Linked DNA regions of Arabidopsis thaliana. The protein of the gene in region 3 interacts with the protein of the main gene of each other region in a pairwise test. Each region holds a gene or a part of one and is shown on either strand. Other genes may lie near its edges. The genes, in order: ARR11, LBD1, SWI3C and LBD10.

Evidence for each region.
Region 1: the proteins of SWI3C (region 3) and ARR11 interact in a two-hybrid assay, tested with the Arabidopsis thaliana proteins (one large-scale study listed by BioGRID).
Region 2: the proteins of SWI3C (region 3) and LBD1 interact in a two-hybrid assay, tested with the Arabidopsis thaliana proteins (one large-scale study listed by BioGRID).
Region 4: the proteins of SWI3C (region 3) and LBD10 interact in a two-hybrid assay, tested with the Arabidopsis thaliana proteins (one large-scale study listed by BioGRID).

The regions. Positions count from the first base shown.
Region 1 is NC_003070.9:25,376,122-25,381,695, reverse strand, and holds ARR11 (response regulator 11), read left to right. Parts: upstream 1-2,478; 5' UTR 2,479-2,790; coding exon 2,791-2,899; exon of another isoform or gene 2,900-2,980; coding exon 2,981-3,133; exon of another isoform or gene 3,134-3,167; coding exon of another isoform or gene 3,168-3,207; coding exon 3,208-3,597; intron 3,598-3,701; coding exon 3,702-3,778; intron 3,779-3,865; coding exon 3,866-4,702; 3' UTR 4,703-5,017; downstream 5,018-5,574. UniProt on the Arabidopsis thaliana protein: Transcriptional activator that binds specifically to the DNA sequence 5'-[AG]GATT-3'. Functions as a response regulator involved in His-to-Asp phosphorelay signal transduction system.
Region 2 is NC_003070.9:2,440,368-2,444,398, forward strand, and holds LBD1 (LOB domain-containing protein 1), read left to right. Parts: upstream 1-2,202; 5' UTR 2,203-2,256; coding exon 2,257-2,493; intron 2,494-2,928; coding exon 2,929-3,264; 3' UTR 3,265-3,379; downstream 3,380-4,031. Other genes in the region: AT1G07902 (uncharacterized protein), read left to right, coding at 3,551-3,643; AT1G07901 (uncharacterized protein), read right to left, coding at 3,604-3,756.
Region 3 is NC_003070.9:7,619,303-7,626,147, reverse strand, and holds SWI3C (SWITCH/sucrose nonfermenting 3C), read left to right. Parts: upstream 1-1,981; 5' UTR 1,982-2,169; coding exon 2,170-2,185; intron 2,186-2,323; coding exon 2,324-2,854; intron 2,855-3,380; coding exon 3,381-3,919; intron 3,920-4,075; coding exon 4,076-4,433; intron 4,434-4,525; coding exon 4,526-4,599; intron 4,600-4,794; coding exon 4,795-4,880; intron 4,881-4,975; coding exon 4,976-5,043; intron 5,044-5,144; coding exon 5,145-5,320; intron 5,321-5,416; coding exon 5,417-5,992; 3' UTR 5,993-6,147; downstream 6,148-6,845. Other genes in the region: OGG1 (8-oxoguanine-DNA glycosylase 1), read right to left, coding at 279-521, 638-848, 1,066-1,709; AT1G21695 (hydroxyproline-rich glycoprotein family protein), read right to left, coding at 6,363-6,845. UniProt on the Arabidopsis thaliana protein: Component of a multiprotein complex equivalent of the SWI/SNF complex, an ATP-dependent chromatin-remodeling complex, which is required for the positive and negative regulation of gene expression of a large number of genes.
Region 4 is NC_003071.7:10,059,230-10,063,749, reverse strand, and holds LBD10 (LOB domain-containing protein 10), read left to right. Parts: upstream 1-1,927; 5' UTR 1,928-2,016; exon of another isoform or gene 2,017-2,164; 5' UTR 2,165-2,217; intron 2,218-2,553; 5' UTR 2,554-2,572; coding exon 2,573-3,508; 3' UTR 3,509-3,685; downstream 3,686-4,520. Other genes in the region: homolog of Synechocystis YCF37, read left to right, coding at 1-443.

The DNA.
Region 1 (5,574 bases), about 18 Mb from region 3:
AGAGACAACAAATGAAATTAACGAATTTGCATTTGAAACATATATAGATCGATCCATTGATAAGCTTTAATGATATGTAGAACACATTCTCTAATTCTATGAGATTTGTAATGAAGTGATAACCCATCTTTACGCAAAACACATTGCCGTAACGTCGACAACAAATGAAGAATGGCTTTGTTAAGGTGAGTTAAAAATAATGTTGGCGCATCATATGTTTCTTTAACATTAATAGACAAAAATAAGTAACTCAAGTTACGTTTTGATGAAAGGAAATAAAGTCGTAAGCATGCATCTCTTTGACGATAGATGTTGTGTTGCATGATACCAAACTCAAACATATTGCGACCACAACTCTGAAAAAAAACATTAACTCACTCAAAATTAAAGCAGAATAATTTTTTTGTTTCTTCTCTTTTTTAGATAAAGAGAGACATTTTAATTTTTATGTTAGTCGGAAGATTCCGATTCAAGGAAATTTATATTTACTTTTTTCGACCTATTTTGAAAACAATTTGTACAATCAAAAAGATGTTAGAAAAGTATGCGTAACATTTTTTGTTTTTTTTGGTAAAAAATCAGGGCCGGCTCAAACTTTTTGAAGACCTTGTGCTGATTTATAAAAACTGGCTTTAGTTAATATTGGTTTTTAATTTCTAAAATTTTTGGACCCTAAAACCTTAAAGAAAATTGAAATTTTTTTTGAGGACCCTGTGCTTTTGCTCCTGTAGCACTCCCCTAGAGCCGGCACTGTAAAAAATATACGTAAGATTTTGTGCAATATTCGCAGTTTTTAATCACTGAATTACCATAAATTTGTTAGACATTTTTACATGTTTCTTACAGTATATTAGATAGACTTTGATTCTCATTCTACATCTCAATAATATATAATATATGATATGAAAGTTGGACAGTAATGAAATAGTAATCATGAAAGTGAGACTAGCTATTTAAATGCAGGTCACATGCAAACCTCGTCCCTGATCCCATCAACAGAAACATGGCCAGTGTACTGTGCAAATCCACAAACTCCCAAACAACGACACTGTTTCTAAATCTATAATGCGTTATTCTTTTTTATCATGGCCAAAAAGTTTGTGCAATTAGTTAGCTGTCTTGTACGTATATAATAATAGAAATTAATGAGGAAGTATATATGTTGTGTGTTTTGTCAAGTCTCTACGGGCCACGTCCTTATCCATAAAAAAGCTTTGTGCATGACAAGCTGTGTACCATTTTCCTTTATTCTTTTGTCTTTCTACTTATTTTCTTTCAATAGAATATAAAGGTCAAAACATTTGAAGTCTTTTATAGTCAAAGATCAAACATTGAAAGTCTTTCAGAGTCAAAGATCAAACATTTTAAGCCTTAATTAAGGTTAAACATTACATCGACTTGTTAAGGATTTGATGATTTACGAGCATTATTAAACCGAGTCGAGAAACCTCACTAGTTAAAGAGTTTATTTTGTGTTAGACGTGACGTACATGCTGCATGCATATATGTAATTTAAGTTGTTTGCGGCGAGAAGCTGATTTTTTAAAAATTTTGAGACATAATGTTTTAACTTTTAAGCTTTCTCAAACACATTATGTTCTTGATGTATGAACGATAGTTTTTTAAATCTAATTTAACATTAGGTTATCAGACACACTAATATACATGTAAAACTTTGCATTATATAGGAGCCGTGACTACCCTATGGCAAAAAGGCAAATGCCTAAAGCCAAAAAAAAAGTTTAAATTAAAGGCCAAATTTTTATAAAATAATAAGCTTATCAATTTTGTTATTTTGATAACAAATAATTGTTAAAATGAAACTTTTTTCGTGAAAATTATATTCTTAACTATACCTTTATCTATAGACCATTTTCTTATCTTGAAAACACATCATTTAGTAATATATTTTTTTTGGTAAGAATCATTTAGTAATACATCATAATTAGTAAATATAAATATTTAAAACAAATAACATTATTAGAAAAACATATAAAAACAAAAAGAATAACGTATTATTGATTTTTTTACATTGTAAGTTTTTGATACTAATATTTTTTCCGATTCAGTATTATGATTATTTTTAAAAACTATGATGATAGCCACATTTTATAAACTTGTCCTAGCCCTGCACACATCTAAGCAAGACACTGCATTATATATAGAGTTGCTTGTGTGTGTTTTGTCAATATTTTTACATGATAAAATGATGATGCACTCTGAATACGATCCCATAAATATAGAAGTTTAAATCTAAATACGATCACCATATTTACGTATAAAATACCAAAGAGTGTAGAAGATAATTATTTTAGTTTTATAGAATAACTATAAAAAGGTGATATAATCCACAATATTATCATGTCAATATCTTAAGAACAATTTGAAAAGCTAAATTATTGGAAGAATATGGGATTATGGAGCAGTGAGAGACGTCAACTTACAAATTGAGAGAGAAAAGAGTTTCAACAACTTTTTTTTGGCAGTGAACTTAGACCGAACTAAATTCCTTCTTCAAAAGTAATCCACAAATAAATTAATATTTTATAGCCTCGTTTTCAAATTAAAAACAGAGAGAAATTTGGAAATTCCAGTACGACGGGAGATAAAACCTAACATACGCCATGGTGACCGTTATCTAAACTACGCCAAAATATTTGAAGTGTCGTCGTTTCATAATAAAACGCAAACAAAAACCCACTCCCACTTTCTCCTTTCCAAAAAAAGAACTCTCGCCACTTTCTCTGCTCTTTTTCTTTCTCTCTCTCTTTCTTGTTTTCGCCGGCGATCATGGAGAAAAGCGGCTTCTCTCCCGTCGGTCTAAGGGTTCTTGTCGTAGACGATGATCCAACTTGGCTCAAGATTCTCGAGAAAATGCTCAAGAAGTGTTCTTACGAAGGTCTCTTTCTTCTTCTTCTATCTTATGTTTTCCCCAACAGTTGGATTTACTAAAATATCTCCTTACTTTCCTATGTTGCAGTAACGACCTGTGGATTAGCTAGAGAGGCTTTGAGGTTGCTGAGGGAGCGTAAAGATGGATATGATATCGTGATCAGCGATGTGAACATGCCTGACATGGATGGTTTCAAGCTTCTTGAGCATGTTGGTCTTGAATTAGACCTCCCTGTAATAAGTGAGAAGAAAGATCTTGACTTGTTGTGTAATAAATGAAAAAGGTTATTGATTTTTGTGTGTTTTGCGTTGTAGTGATGTCGGTGGACGGCGAAACAAGCCGAGTGATGAAGGGAGTGCAACACGGAGCTTGTGATTACCTCTTGAAGCCGATAAGAATGAAGGAGTTAAAGATTATATGGCAACATGTTCTGAGAAAGAAGCTTCAAGAAGTGAGAGATATCGAAGGCTGTGGATACGAAGGAGGAGCGGATTGGATCACTCGATACGATGAAGCACATTTTCTTGGAGGTGGTGAAGATGTTTCTTTTGGGAAAAAGAGAAAAGACTTTGACTTTGAGAAGAAGCTTCTTCAAGATGAGAGTGATCCATCATCTTCTTCTTCCAAGAAAGCTAGAGTTGTTTGGTCTTTTGAGCTTCATCATAAGTTTGTCAACGCCGTTAACCAAATCGGATGCGATCACAGTAAGTACGTTGGCGACTTTGGTTTCTTATCATGTCCCCTTGCCTCCCTTTATTATCATGTCTTCATAGAGCCGTGAAATTTTTTCCGGTCTCTTGTTTGGCAGAAGCTGGTCCCAAGAAGATATTGGATCTCATGAATGTTCCATGGCTCACTAGAGAAAATGTTGCAAGCCACCTTCAGGTAAAAACTTTACCTTGTCATCATCATTATTCAGAACAAGTGTTAGATTAAGCTTTTCGTCACTTTTTTTTTGTTCTGTTTTTGTAGAAATATAGACTTTACCTGAGCAGATTAGAGAAAGGAAAGGAGCTCAAGTGTTATTCAGGTGGCGTGAAGAATGCGGATTCATCTCCAAAAGATGTCGAAGTGAATTCAGGCTACCAAAGCCCTGGGAGGAGCAGCTATGTATTCTCTGGAGGAAATTCTCTGATCCAAAAAGCAACAGAGATTGATCCAAAGCCACTTGCTTCAGCTTCTTTGTCTGACCTCAACACCGATGTGATCATGCCTCCGAAAACAAAAAAGACGCGTATAGGATTTGATCCTCCCATTTCCTCCTCTGCGTTTGACTCTCTGCTTCCTTGGAATGATGTTCCAGAGGTCCTTGAATCGAAGCCGGTTCTGTATGAGAATAGCTTTCTCCAGCAACAACCATTGCCAAGTCAAAGTTCCTATGTTGCAAATTCTGCACCATCTCTCATGGAGGAGGAAATGAAGCCTCCTTATGAGACACCAGCAGGAGGCAGTAGTGTGAATGCAGATGAGTTTCTCATGCCACAAGACAAGATCCCTACTGTAACCCTTCAAGATTTGGATCCCTCTGCCATGAAGCTGCAGGAGTTCAACACAGAGGCGATTCTGAGAAGCTTGAACTGGGAACTTCCAGAATCACATCATTCTGTTTCTTTAGACACTGACTTAGACTTGACTTGGCTTCAAGGCGAGCGTTTTCTTGCAAACACCGGACTCCAGTTTCAAGATTACAGTAGTAGCCCATCACTCCTATCTGAGCTCCCAGCCCACCTTAATTGGTATGGAAATGAGCGGCTGCCTGACCCTGACGAGTATTCCTTCATGGTAGACCAAGGTTTATTCATATCTTAACCTTGTTCCAATAACTTCTTTTCGTATATTGGTTGGTGTAATGCAGAAAGATTTTGTGGGTATACCTGAAAATAATCTTGCTTTCCCAAGAACCTTCCATGATCGGATGCATTGTACAATAATCCACGAGTGTCGTAGGCTAATTACACCAAACAGGTTGATGACAGTGATAAGGCCACATGTTTCACACCGTCGCTTAAGATCTTCACTGTCACCTGGAAGGAAATTAGTTTGCATGTCATATCATGAAAAAAAGATCTCTACTACACATTGAATCTAATTGCAAAACTTAGGAATTTTACCTCCTTACTCCAACACATGTGATGTTCTTTTATCTGTTGAGAATCTGTCCCATAACCTTATCATCAAATAATGTGAGAGTTCACAATCTTAGAGCAGATATACAAATGAGTGTTACGGGAAACGTTTTACATCGAAGATATCTAACAGTTGCCACATGTGATGTTCTTTTATCTGTTGAGAATCTGTCCCATAACCTTATCATCAAATAATGTGAGAGTTCACAATCTTAGAGCAGATATACAAATGAGTGTTACGGGAAACGTTTTACATCGAAGATATCTAACAGTTGCCACTTGCCACCAGATCCAAGATGGGAAACTTCAGAGTTTTGAACTATCTAACATCTTTCTATGCAGGCAATGGATTAGTTACCTGACAAAGCTCTAATTTATTCATAACAAACAATTTATGAAGCTACACACACCATATTGCAATGTTCGGACAGTCAGATGTCGCCAATACTGCGCAGAACTAGATTTTTTACCTACTGGAGCAATCAGGGAGATTCTACTAAATCTCTGCAAATGGTCTTGCTCTCACCTTCACGAAGCTTTTGCATATCTTGTTCA
Region 2 (4,031 bases), 5.2 Mb from region 3:
ACACGTTCACACCATTTAGAGTTCGAAACGGTTCTTTTTTCTTTTTGTGTGTGTGTGTGGGAAATTGGCTGTAACATTACTGAGCTCCTCTTTCATTCCGTGTGGGTCTCGTTTGTTTTATGTATAATCCTTATCTTACTTTAGCCTAAAAAGAAATTCAAAGCAACTATAGCTTCAAAAGAATAAAAATACTATAATATCAAAAAGACAACCAAAAAAAACAAAAAAAGAGAGAGGTAATGCTATAGATTTCATCTAGACGTAATAATACATTTTTCAAAGATGCGACGACTTTTAGAAAAATACATAGTTACTTAGATAACTTTGAAAGTATCCAGAAATCAGAAATGTGGATTTTTTTTTGTTCTTTTTTTCTACATCGTCGGATAAATTCTGAATTTAAGAACTGGGTAATTTCAGACTCGTTGAAATCAAAGTCAATGAGTCAAATATATCATTTATTCGGTACGCTTAGGTTACATCATCAGATTAAATTTGAGCAGATGGTTGTAATCAATAATCCCTTGCCCGTGGCTTGGTATACGTACATTTGGCAACCTTTATGTATTTCCCCTTTCCGGAGGGAATCGCTTACAAATTCTTCGATCGATATGATTGATTCTCAAAGACCAAATATTGATTTGTTGAATTTGTAAAAATAAAATTGTATTGACCGATGTGTTATTAACTTGTATTTTGAAACAAACAAAACAAAAATAACGCAAGAAATGTGTTGCATGGCACAATTTACTTTTTTTTTTTCGCTAGTGAATGCTTTTGTGCTTACTATATGTATAAATTTACATTTTAGTGAATGGTAGCATAATTTTCAATGCACACGTAACGACCCCAATTTTCTTGTCTCCATTCCAACATTAGTGGAATCTTATCACTGATTTGATAGAATTTAACTGCACTAGAGTTATTTGAAAAAGGCCCAAGAATATGATTGGAAGAAAAGGTATTGATGATTTGATCTGAGGATAATCATGACGATACTGTTAGACGTACATTATTTATTGAGATAAATCTGACTAACAAACAATCTCCCAGTGTACACGATGCAAAAGACAATCTTTGACCGATTAAATCAATAAGACTAAATGATGATGAATTGATGATACTAGAAAGAAGAAAATCTTATAAGCCTTAAGTCATTTTCAATAAGGTGTTGAAGATTTAGTTGAGAGTATACGTATAGTAGAAAGAGAGCAATCTGTCGAAGGTGGACGCAAGAGCTTGCACACCCAATAACTCGTTTAGCAATCTAACTGGTTACGTGTCTTCCCTCTATTTGATTCCGAATTTTTCTTCTTAATGTTGGTACGTGAAGACGACTCTCTTATTGAATAAATGATGCTTTGGGACCGCTCGGAATTCTATTTCTTCTAAATGACGACTCTTAACGTAGTTTTGCATTTTCTCCATGCATATATATACGTGGAAAATGGTTAATTTAATTTGGAAAAAATGTGTATGTATAAGTCGTTCAAATTAAACAGAAAAGTCTCATACAATAGATATAACTAATGTATAAAAATGAGTCCCAAGAATAATGGTTAATAAAAACAAAATACGGTTCAGCAAAAATTAGGCAACCTAAAATAAATCACTTGGCCTTTTGTGTTAATTTCTCTATCAGTACTTCAGTAGAATTTACAATTAAGTAAGCACTGAATAAAAATAATAATCAAACTTCACTAGAAGAGAAGTACTCTAGAATTGAATATCTAGGTATTCCAAAGACCTATCGAACCACCTAGCGTAATACACATTTCAATTGAGGTTTTTAACTATGGTTTCTCCCAAATTATAGTATTAATCTTCAATTCTTCATAATCAGAAAGACTATTAAAGAATGTAAGACGAAGAGTAGAATACCATTGGACTAACTAATGATTTTTTAGAGACTAATATAATTGAAACTATACGTAAGGAGAAAAACAAGACAAGAAGAATTTTTTGTTTCTTAAGAAGAAAATTAATTGTGCCAAAGTCAAGCAAACCGTTGAAACATGAAAGCGTAGAGAAATTTAGTAGCCACCGTTACGTGGAAATATGTTTCAACTTTCAATTAGCAAAAAAGCCACGTCATAATTCGAGCTTGTGATGTCAGGGTGGTCACCTCCTTCCCTACATCATTTTGTGTGTCTCCCCTATATATACACTTCCCCACCAAAAAGCACTTCACCTCTCAAAGACTCTACTTACACATTTCTCATCTTCCTCCCCATAATTCACAGTTTTTGCGTTGGTATGGAGAGTAAAAGTGACGCTTCTGTCGCCACCACTCCAATCATATCTTCTTCCTCTTCTCCTCCACCATCACTTTCACCGCGGGTAGTGCTTAGTCCATGTGCTGCTTGCAAAATCTTGAGGCGACGTTGTGCAGAGAGATGCGTTTTGGCACCGTACTTCCCTCCAACGGATCCGGCCAAGTTCACTATTGCACACCGCGTCTTTGGAGCCAGCAACATCATTAAGTTCTTGCAGGTACCTAAATTATCTATATATCTATTGGTGTAATAACTATAAGCTCTTTAGTTCTTAGAAAGAATTACATTAAGAAAGACCCGATTTTATATTAATGATATAGATGGGAATGATTTTCTTGTTCTTATTAGGAAGATACATATATTGAAATGGTTGTTTCGGAAAATGGTTTCATAGGTCATGTGAAAATTGGACCTTACGTAGTTATTTGTCATAAGACTAATGTCAATAATTTCTTCTCACAAAAGCCGCACCACATAACCAAAAAAAAAGTGAAAGTATTGCATATAGTGTCATTGTCAACGTTTTCCTTATCATGCACCTTTCACAAAGTCTTGTAGAAAAATGGTATTTACTCGAATTGGTCAATTAAATACAAAAAAATCCTTACCTTTATGAACGAACACATGATTGATTATTTATCTATATTTTCAGGAACTTCCAGAATCACAAAGAACTGATGCGGTCAACAGTATGGTGTATGAAGCCGAAGCTAGAATAAGAGATCCAGTGTATGGATGTGCAGGTGCCATATACCATTTACAAAGACAAGTGAGTGAACTCCAAGCACAACTTGCAAAAGCTCAAGTGGAGATGGTGAATATGCAATTTCAAAGATCAAATTTACTAGAGCTGATTTATAACATGGACCAACAACAGAAACAAGAACAAGATAATATGTCCTTTGAGAGCAATGATTTGGGATTCCTTGAAGACAAGTCCAACACCAACTCATCAATGTTGTGGTGGGATCCTCTTTGGACATGTTGATCATTACTAAGATTTTGACTACTTCGCTTTAAGGCCCTCTCTAGAACTTTACTCAGGGTTAGTTAGCATACACAAATGTAACATTGTACGGTGAATAAAGAAAAGTAGAGGCGGCTTTTTTAAATTGTTTTTTTGACCGGGTTTTCAATGTTTTTTCCTGCGGTTTTTAGACACAAACCGGAAAGTATACCGGATCTAAACAACCGCAGAGCGGAAAAAAAAAATCTAAAACTAAACGACGTCGTTCGGCTCTTTATCTTGTCACCCTCCTCAGGCGACGGCGACGATGAACCTCCGTTCCAAATCTTCCCGTATCTTTTATGAAACGCGACCGACTCTTCAAGGCCCAAAGAAAAAGAGAATAGTCGGCGGGATAGGGGTATGTTTGTAATTTGGCAAACGAATCCCCATCATAGCTTTATTCCTTACTTCATTCACCCTAGCCGCTTTACTCTCTTGCGTTATCTCCGAGGTAAGCTTTTTCATCACCATCTACGATCTGCCTCTTTCTCTTCTGCTGATCTGTGTTGAATCTGTTTCGATACTTCTCGTTTGTTGTTGTTATTTCTTGGATTCGATTCTCTTTGTTTATAGATCGTTTGGAATTTCTGATCGGTGGTGTAAAGTTTTATCGATTTAGGAGAACAAAGTTTTACAGTGCAATCGTATTGTTTTTTTTCTTCATGCCAGCTGATGATAAACTATAGGATCGATCTGGTTCTGAGATTTTTGTACTGTTCAGTGGATTGTTGATTATATCTTTTGAT
Region 3 (6,845 bases):
ATAAAAGGAAAAAATTCTCATTTCAAATCAAGAGAATTGCAAAGGGAACAAACAATTAGAATTTAATTTGGAAGTTTGAATGTAAAGTTACAAGTACATATCAAGATTGGTTCCTTAGTAAACAATGATCATAACAAATAACTACGCTCATTTGCCAGGGAGCCAAATACTGCATCAGCTTCAGAATTTTCTTAGCTCTTCCAAGGTCAAGTTTCTGGACTTGACGCATCAAGAATGGGTTGTGAAAACGATTCCTCGTAGCTTAGGTAGACACATAGTCATGGCTTCAACGTATCACAGCTAGTTTCATTAACTTCTGCAGACTCATCCAGTTTGTTAATGGGCTGGGAAAACGATTGCAAGAGAGTTTTTTGTGCAGGTAACTCGGCAATGAAAAGCAATGTTTGAGCCCAACCAGCATATTCACCATATTTACTCACAAAGGCTTCTGCAACTCGGCCATGGAGTTTAGGTGTCAGTTTTGCACCAGCAAGGTCTGGCAGTAGATAATTTGTTGCGATCTGATCCATTATCCAAAACAGAACAAAAAAAAAGTTGCCCGAAGTCATCATCACCATTATGTAATTGGATCTCAATTAAGTAAGTACAATACATAGAAACCGATGGACTTTGTTACCTGCCAGACATGTGTGTCAACCGGAATAGCACTATGCTGATCAAGAGAAAACAGAGCTATGCAAGCTGCTACCTTCGGACCAACACCAGGTAATGTACACAGCGCAGCAACTGCCTCTTGGAGTTCGACTTTGCGCAGAGAAAGAAGCCATTCATTACCACCACCTGGCTTTGCTTGCAAAGCATTCACTGTACCTGTTATGTATTTGGCTCTGCTCACCACAAGATAAACCAGAATGAGAGTTTTCAAATGAGATCAGAACCAATCAGAGAAACGGCCACACAATGATTATCTAGCTTAGACCAAACATTAGCTTCAATTCTATGAATGTATAGCCACAGAGTAAATAAAAGTATAAGCTTCAAGCAAAGTTTTAGCCTAAATGTCTAATTCAACATAATGCAACCATTAGAGAGTGATGAAATCACCTGTAACCAAAACCAGCCTTTCTAAACTCTTCCTCAGAAACCCTAGATAATCGATCCAATGATGGGAACTGATGAAACTCAAATCCATCAATGTCACCCAAATGTAACCCTAAAGACGAAACAAAATCCACCATCTTCGTAATCCTCGCAATGTTATTGTTCGATGAGCACAAAAACTGTATCAAGCACTCGAGCGGATCCTGCCTCAACACACGAGCGCCACGGAGATGTCTCGCTAGCTCTCCGAAACGAGGATCTTTTTTCGAGAAATCAGACCATAGCTCAGCTAACGAGATCTCAGCATTGAGAAAATCGAGCAACGCAAGCTCCGCGGATTTAGGGCTTGTGCTACAATGGACGCAGTAGGAAACTGCGTCGTCTCCTGGACGTTGTCTAAGAGAGACTAAGTGAGGCCCAATCGTTCCGCTATACTGAATCGCTCCAGTTTTCTTCCACCGGAATGTTTGACCCGTCGGAAAAGTTAACGGCAACGTCAGCTCCGTGTGGGTTAGTTTTAACGGGAACCATTTAGGTGTTCCTGTTCTGTGTAGCTTCTGTTTGAGAATCGGTGTGACCGGCGGAGACAGTGGTGGTTTGACGGTGGAAGAGATCGACGGCTGAGATGTAGGTCGAGGTCTCTTCATCGCCGTTGCTCGTTAACGGAACCACCACACCAGTATTAATGCGCGACGGTCGACTAATGTATCAATTTAAACCGGTTTAACCAATTTGAACTTTAAGAACCGAACTAAATAATTGATTCGGTTTTTCTCATTCAAAATTGAAAAATAAAACCGAAGTAAAGTTGACTTTAACCGAAGTTAAACCAAAATTTGGATTGGTCAACGAAGCTTGAATTTCGAAATCAGAACCCTCTTGTTTGTCGAGAAGGTTAGGTCGTCGTGGAGAATGAATTAATATATAGAGATTAATGAAGGAAATGGTGAAAGAAATTGCGAGAAAAAGGTTTGGTGTTTAGCTCGAGAGCTGGAAATCAGAACGACTCGGAGGAGAGAAGACAAAGAAAGCAATTCTTTTTACTAAGGGTCTTGCTTCGATTCCACAGAACCCAAAACCTCTATTTCTCTATCTTCATCCACAAAAATGCCAGCTTCTGAAGGTAAATTGCTGTTTCACATCTTTATCTCTCTCAAAATCCAAATTTAAATTGGGATTTGACTTACCCACATAGATCGTAGTGATGGGTATTTCGAGAATTCGTGTGAATTGAATTACACTTTTTACAATTCTGTCGCAGATAGAAGAGGGAAATGGAAAAGGAAGAAGAGAGGGGGGTTATCGGCGGCGAGGAAACCGAAACAAGAGGAGGAAGATATGGAGGAAGAAGACGAAGAGAATAACAACAACAACAACGAAGAAATGGATGACGTTGAAAATGCCGATGAGCTTCAGCAAAACGGCGGCGCAACTCCCGATCCGGGACTTGGTATTGGCGAGGTAGTTGAAGATTCTGGTTCGCGCATCTCTGATTTCCCGGCAGTGGTTAAGCGTGTTGTGATCCGGCCACACGCGTCTGTAATGGCTGTTGTGGCGGCTGAGAGAGCTGGTTTGATAGGGGAGACTAGAGGGCAAGGTTCACTTCCAGCTCTGGAGAACATTTCGTTTGGGCAATTGCAAGCGTTATCTACTGTACCTGCTGATTCTCTTGATCTTGAGAGGAGTGATGGATCGTCTTCGGCTTATGTTATCTCTCCACCACCTATTATGGATGGAGAAGGAGTTGTTAAACGGTTTGGGGATCTGGTTCATGTCTTGCCTATGCATTCAGGTGTGTTTTTTCTTCCTCTTGATACGCGCATTTATGTTAGAGGTTAGGCTTTATGCAGCATCAGCTTTTGCTGGTTGGTAGTATTGTAGTATATATCTTGTGATTGGAATGAGAATTAGTCAAAACAGGTTTGTATGCCGGTATCTCCTTAACGTATAAGTTCTTATCTTCCTTTTGTCTAGTGCCTGGTTCTTAGTTTACATTAATCTGAACGCGACTCAATTTCATATCAGATGTTTCTCTATGTTCCCATGTTCTGTCTGATGGAAAGGAAGAGGTATTATAACTTTTGTACATGATAAATTAGAGTACCTGCTGGCTTGAAGTAGCCTTAGGTGTCTTATCTCAGAAGTACAACTTGAATAGACTATGCAAGTGATGTTCTTCTAATTCGTTTGGGTTTTGTTCCTGGAGTCCTATGGCTCAAATATATCGAGATTCTCCTCTTATTTTATTTTTATTTTCTGATATTTTTGTTCCCAATGCTCGAATTTATTCTTCTACTTTTGCTGTTACATTTGAGCAGATTGGTTTGCACCAAACACAGTAGATCGACTTGAAAGGCAAGTGGTGCCACAGTTTTTCTCTGGGAAATCGCCAAATCATACACCCGAAAGTTATATGGAATTCAGGAACGCCATTGTTTCCAAATATGTAGAGAACCCTGAAAAGACACTGACGATTTCTGATTGCCAAGGATTGGTAGATGGTGTTGACATTGAAGATTTTGCACGAGTTTTCCGTTTTCTTGATCACTGGGGAATAATCAATTACTGTGCCACTGCCCAGTCACATCCTGGCCCTTTGAGAGATGTATCGGATGTGAGGGAGGACACAAATGGCGAGGTCAATGTGCCGTCTGCTGCTTTAACATCTATTGATAGTTTGATCAAATTTGACAAGCCCAACTGTAGACACAAGGGGGGTGAAGTCTATTCATCCTTGCCAAGTTTGGATGGTGACAGCCCTGACTTGGACATCAGAATTCGTGAACACCTATGTGATAGTCATTGCAACCATTGTTCTCGACCGCTTCCAACTGTGTACTTCCAATCGCAAAAGAAGGTTCTTAGGCTGCTTCCCCTTACGTACTGTTCTTTGTGTATCATTATCTGATTCTTTTTTGCACCCAGTGATGTAATAGACTCCAAGCTTTATCTTGCTTACTGTCTCGGATACTGGACCGCTTCTAACTAAAGGATCTTCATCTCTACTTTACAGGGGGATATACTCTTATGCTGTGATTGTTTTCACCATGGAAGATTTGTTGTTGGACATTCTTGTCTTGACTTTGTAAGAGTGGATCCAATGAAATTTTATGGCGATCAAGATGGAGACAATTGGACTGATCAGGAAACTCTCTTGCTTCTTGAAGCTGTGGAACTCTACAATGAAAATTGGGTTCAAATTGCTGATCATGTTGGTTCCAAGTCAAAAGCTCAATGCATTCTTCATTTTCTTCGATTACCTGTGGAGGATGGTCTATTAGATAATGTTGAGGTTTCTGGTGTAACTAATACGGAAAACCCTACAAATGGATATGACCACAAAGGAACAGATTCAAATGGGGATTTACCTGGTGATTTTGTTTTATTCAATTTGTAGCAATGAATTACTTTCCATAGTTATTTCCTTTGACATGCCATACTAATTGTCCGCTTGCGTCTGCAGGATATTCCGAGCAAGGTTCTGACACTGAGATCAAGCTTCCATTTGTGAAGTCTCCGAATCCGGTTATGGCATTGGTTTGTGAACTTTTTTCCGATGCAGATTTCATATGCGCTTCTTATTATCCTTATGATCTCACCAGTTAGAGATATCTCTGATCCATGAATCGATTATATCTGAGAGCTCAATTGTATGCATATTTTGAGTGGAGAATGGTCCTGTATTGCACATAAGTTTGGAGATATGAGGATCCTGATACCAAAATATTTTAGGTTGCATTTTTGGCATCAGCTGTTGGACCTCGAGTTGCTGCGTCCTGTGCCCATGAATCCCTCTCGGTTTTATCTGAGGACGATAGGTTAGTGTATTATATAGTCTCTATCCAATATAAATTCTCTGTAGTGTGATTCAGTTTAATAATACTATGGACTATTCTGAAACTTCTTGATCTAGGATGAAATCTGAGGGAATGCAAGGGAAAGAAGCCAGCTTGCTTGATGGAGAAAATCAACAGCAAGATGGTAAGGAAGTTATTTGATTGTTCTCTTTACAGTGATTCTTTGCTCTTTTGTTTTAACCTAATCTGCGACACCAACATGCTTTAATTGTAAAAAAAACTCAGGAGCACACAAAACATCAAGCCAAAACGGAGCAGAAGCGCAGACTCCACTGCCACAGGATAAGGTTATGGCAGCATTTAGAGCCGGTCTATCAGCTGCAGCAACAAAAGCAAAATTGTTTGCTGATCATGAGGAACGCGAAATCCAGAGACTTTCTGCTAATATCGTTAATCACCAGGTAAAATAGCAGAACCAGTTGCTGATGAGAATTACTGTAGGTAGTTGATTTATTTTGTTGTATAGTGTTTATTGCTGATCTGAGTAAAAACCGCAGCTGAAGAGGATGGAGCTGAAATTAAAGCAGTTCGCAGAAATTGAAACACTGTTGATGAAAGAATGCGAACAAGTAGAGAAAACCCGTCAGAGATTTTCTGCAGAACGGGCTCGTATGCTCTCAGCAAGATTTGGATCTCCTGGAGGAATCTCTCCACAGACTAATAATCTCCAAGGCATGTCTCTATCCACAGGTGGTAACAACATCAATTCTCTCATGCATCAGCAACATCAGCAACAACAAGCTTCCGCAACTTCTCAACCAAGCATAATCCCAGGATTCAGCAACAACCCGCAAGTTCAAGCACAGATGCATTTCATGGCACGACAACAACAACAACAACAACAACAACAACAACAACAACAGCAAGCTTTCTCGTTTGGCCCGAGATTACCTCTCAATGCAATACAGACCAATGCAGGATCAACAGCTTCACCAAACGTCATGTTTGGCAACAACCAACTAAATAACCCTGCAGCAGCTGGAGCAGCATCGATCAACCAGCCTTCGTTTAGTCACCCGATGGTTAGGTCTTCCACAGGTTCAGGCTCAGGGTCCGGCTTAGGCTTAAACTAAGATCCATCTTTCTCTAGCTTATTTAGCTTATCAGTATCCATATTTATTTCACCTTGTTATTTTTAAAGATAAGTTATTTGGCTTTGAGACCGTAGTCTTGTTCCAAGTTAGTGTCTTGTAGTATCAAACCATCATCATCATCATTGTGAATTAAAACAGTCACCAATCTTAATGTCTCTCTTTCCCACAACCATTTCTCTACTCTTCAAACATTAGGGGTCTTTTAACTCGATTCATTTTGACGATAATATATAGACAATTTCATTACAAATCTACATGTAACATATTCGTTCTTGTCGCAATGAAAAACTCAAAATCATTTTTATTTGATTAATCTCTAAGATGTTTTTTTTTTTTTAAGCCTAACCATTTAACCAAGGCGGGAACGAGCTATCATTAACATGGTTTTTTTCTCATAAGAGCTTAAATCCGAATCAGTCCGTTTTAGCGGCGAACCACGGCGAGAAGAGAAGGACGATTTCGGCGAACTCCACCTCGAAGATACCGGCGATCCCTGGCTAGAATCTTCTTCCGACGGAGAAAGCGTTGTTCCCGATTCATAGAAATTGTCAGACTCCGATGTTGTTGATGATGGTTCCTGCTGACCGGTCTTTTTTAAATCGCCGCTCTTACTCTTTTTCAACCCAAATAATGACTTGGGAAAAAAACACCGAGGCAATGAGCCACCGGCACGAGGAGAAGAAGATCGGAAATATGGAGTCGGAGATGCTGAACAGTTGGAGTCGGAATCTGAAGGCGATTTCAGCTTGAAAGACGGAGGAGGAGCGAAGGGAGAGACTGGTCGGCTTCTGGATTCAGAGAAGAAAGAAGAAGAAGACGACGGAGATGGCGA
Region 4 (4,520 bases), on a different chromosome or scaffold from region 3:
GCGCAAGAACCGCGCATGTTAGCCCACGAGCGGCGCATTCTAACAAACCCGCGCTTTCTTCGTTCTCGCTGACCGGCGCCTCTCGCAGGAATCTGTTATTTTCGTTGACGGCAGCGACGGTAGTGACGGGACTTCAGCCTGCATCAATGGCGGAGAATATTCCGTTATTTGGTATAAGAAAGAAACTGAAGAAAGCAGAAGAAGAAGCGGTGGAGATCGTGAAAGAAGGCTTTGAGACGGCGGAGAAAGGCGTTGATGCGGCGGAGAAAGGATTAGAAGCGGCGGAGAGAGGTGTAGAGACGGCAGAGAAGGAAATCGTGACGGCGGTTAGCTTTAATGGATTGACACAAGCTGGAGCCGTCGTGGCGGCTGAGTTCGTCGGAGTTCTTGTCGCTACGTCAGTAGTGAATGGGATTTTAGGACCAGAAGCCCAGAAATCTTAGGAATAACCTAATGCTATGTGTACTTTTGTGTTGGAGTTAAAGAAATATTTGTCTAAATTTTTGCTGTTAATTATGTTTTGTAATATCATAAACCATATACCTAGAGATGAAGAAGATCAGAATTATGTGGTCTATTTTGCTTCGGTTTTGATTTTTATCGGAAATAAGTAAATTGTGTGGCTCTTATAGCTTATGGCTTATAGCATTTTCAAAGCACATTTCATTTTTAAGTTTACCAAGCCTCAAGTTTAAAGTTGAATAATATTATTAACATCAAAACAATTTTTATTTTGCATTTAAAGTCTTGATCATAATGTCTTAAAATCACAAAACTTATATAAAACTATAAAACATATATTATAATATATAATTATAATCATAAGTTACAAGTATCAATGTATTAAAAAAATAAATAGTATCAATACTAAATAAGATTTTTTTTAGTTTTCTTAAAGATATTTATCAACCATTCAAGTTAAATTCAAGACATAATATTCTTGTGTTATTATCAACTAAATCTTGACTCTTAATATTGTATCAAGTTTTGTAAATCAATAAAGTATTTAGAGAATTTAAAGTAAATGTTCTTGATTTTATTTCATCAAGTTTAAATCAATGAAAAGTAGTTAGGAACGTTGATTTATCTTCTTTACTCTTTCAATTTTATACTTTTATAATGCTATTATTGGAGGCAAAAAATAGAGAGGAAGAATAAGCTATTCTCTAGTATCTATATGAACTCTTCATGTAAATTACTAAAGAATATTAGTTACAAGAATGAAATATCTATAACCCGTTCAAGTTAAATTTTCTATGTTTCAGTTGTCAAACTTCTGCATTATCAGGTTGTACCTTCACTGAATACATTATATTGTAGAAGTTTAAATCAATGAAATATTTACAGACTCTAATATTTTTTATATTAAAACTCTAATACACTTTTGTTATCATTAATTAATGTTTTACTAATTACATTGTATCATATTGAATCAATGATGTATTAGAGACAGTAAAAATACTATTCGTAACTAGTAATGAATTATACTTTTCAAATGATCCTTTTATATAAATTTCACAAATTTTAAATGCTAATTTCTCATTCTTTATTTGAAGAGTTCTTGTAAAAAATGCTAAAGAATGGGGTATATTATTTTTTTAGATTCTAAATTTGAAAGTTAAAAATTCAAGACCTAGTAAATCAGTTAAAAATATAAAAGAAATATCTAAAAATAACTCACTTTTTCTCCATTGTAAACAAATTTGATTTTCTTTTCCTATGAAATTTGAATTAGTCTTCTACTAATTATGCAGCTTAAAATATCATTGCTAACTTATCAAATGATACTTCAAATTTTTTATCAGTCACAAAAAAAAAAACAATTTGCATAAGCGGTTTAGATTTAAATTTGACCACACGTGTGTAACTTTGTAACACGATGTCTCTATCTTTCTCTCTTTCTTGTTGATGTGTTTTAAGGTTTTCTAAATCTCATTTTTGTCTCCTTAAAATTTTCTCAGAAACATTTCCGTCATTTGTTCCTTAGTTTTGTAATCAATCTTCACGATTCCTCAGGCACTGTACTTGGCAAATCTCTGTCTTTTTTTCTCCTTCATTTTCTCTCACTCTCTCCCAAAAATCCAGTAATTCTATATTATTTTAGGTGATCATTCTGATTTCAATTTTTTTGGTTGAATTTTTCTAAATAGTAATGTTATTTCAGGTACCATCCTCCAAGGTCATAAGAGAACAGGATCGGTGTTCTCGAACGAGCGGGTGCGATTTCTTGATTCTTTAATTTTATTTGATCACATTTCTTAATTCTCTCATATATATAGATTGATTGATTTGGTTGAAAATTGATTTAATTTCATAACTATGTTTTCTTTTTCATAATTAAATTTTCATAGTTCTGTTTCTTTTTTGTTGTTGAGAAAGTTGATCTAATGTGGTTGATTCAAAGGGTGATGTAAATGTTCTTGCCTGGTTTTTGGTTTCTTGTGTTGAAAGCTAAAACGTATATGATTTTGTGTTTCTTGTGCTTCAAGATATTTCTTACATGTTATTTCCCTTGTTCTCTTTGTCTTAATTCCATTCTTAAATTTTTGATAGTGTTGTGTCTTAAGTGGGGATGGCTTCAACACCTTGTGCAGCATGTAAGCTCTTGAGGCGTAAATGCACTCAAGAATGTGTGTTTGCGCCGTATTTTCCACCAACTAATCCTCAAAAGTTTATCTTTGTTCACCGAGTTTTTGGAGCAAGCAATGTAACCAAGATCCTCAACGATCTTCCACCTGATCAACGCGAAGACACTGTTAATTCCCTCTTTTATGAAGCGGAAGCGCGTATCCGTGACCCAATCTATGGATGTGTTGGTCTCATTTCTTTTTTACAACAATACCTCAAGAAAATTCAACAAGATCTTCTCACTGCTAAAGAAGAGCTTGTTGGTTACTTGGGACCCGATGCTGTGATTCCGCCGCCTTATCTTCCTCCTATAGGTAACAATCCTCCTCCCAATTTCATGATGTCTATGGAAGGAATGCCACCAGGAGTGATCCCTCAAGGAGAACCTTTGATGATACGCGAACCAAACATGTCTCAGCAACATCATCATCAACAACCGCAAGATGAGCAGTTGCAATTCATAGCTTCTGATGCACAGAGAATGGCTGCAATGATGTTGGAGAGAGGAGATCAACAAGGGATGTTCAATGGTTACGGAATAGACAACAATGGTTCGGTTACAGCCACGGGTTTTAACCAAATGGATGTGAATGATCAAGGTGCTGGTGGTTCGTTGTCTGGACCATCTCTTGCTTTAGGAAGCTTTGGTGATGCTTATCAGATGGGTCAAGAGACAGAGCATGGTCATATCAACCATGATCAGCTTCAGACACAGCTTATGCTTCAGCCTCCATTACAAGAAGGTCAAGAACAAACAGAGGAAGGACAGTTCTTGATGCAACCAATGGGACAAGAGAATCTTCATGACGAAGAGGAGGAGGAAGAGCTTGAGCCACCGGTTAAATGGAGGATGTCTGAGAACAAGGAAGCTAGTTTTTAAGACCTAAATGCATTTAGGAGAACAAAAAAAAATTCCTATTTTCTTGGATAGTTTACTTAACTCTTGAGGATCTATTTGGTTTTTTTTTTTAATAATCAAATGGTATTATTCATTCTCGCTATTTGCATCTACAAATTAAGCAATCTGAATTCGCATCAATTGTCTATAATGCCACAGAATCGACTCGGATTTTTGCTATGGTTGAGAAGTTTTCGAGCTATTTTCAGAGAATGGATTGTGTATTATTTTTGAAGCCAACCAAAGCAAGCAAATGATATGATCATACAACCTCAGCATGAAACCTAATGTACTCTGATTGGGATAGACTTTACTTGTAGTCATGAGGGACATGCCGTAATGAACCACTTGTTAATTATTTTTCTTTTTTCAAAAATATTTTCAACAATGGTAAGATTAAAAGAGTTTATGAAGGAATTACCGATTGAGCAGAGCAGAGATATTATCCATGCATTCTGTTTTTATCATTTTGCGATTTTGTCGTTACACACTAATCAAAATTTTCAATTCTGCCACGCAACTTATAATTGTGTCTCTTGAAAACGTTAAATACAGTATTGGAGAAAGGAGAAAAACGTTTAATCATCGTATCGGAAACAAATTAGTTTTGAAGTTAAGAATAAAAGCGTACAGTAAAATACGGGCTATTTAACGTTTACCTAAAGTAAATGTATACATATCATATTTGTAGCTTAGTTAACATCAAATCAGAGTGGCGCAGCGGAAGCGTGGTGGGCCCATAACCCACAGGTCCCAGGATCGAAACCTGGCTCTGATAAAATGTTTCGTGTTTTTTTGTTTTGTTTTTTTATCAGTTTAAGGGCCGAGCTCGGCCCAACAACAAAATATACTGGGTCTTCAATTATGAGACGGACCCTAATATCTTCGCCTGCCCAACAACAGAATTACATACTTGTAAATCACCTTAAACTTTTTTTTTGGTAGAGAGTAGTAAATCACCTTACACTTATAACGATATGGCTTTTATGCAATT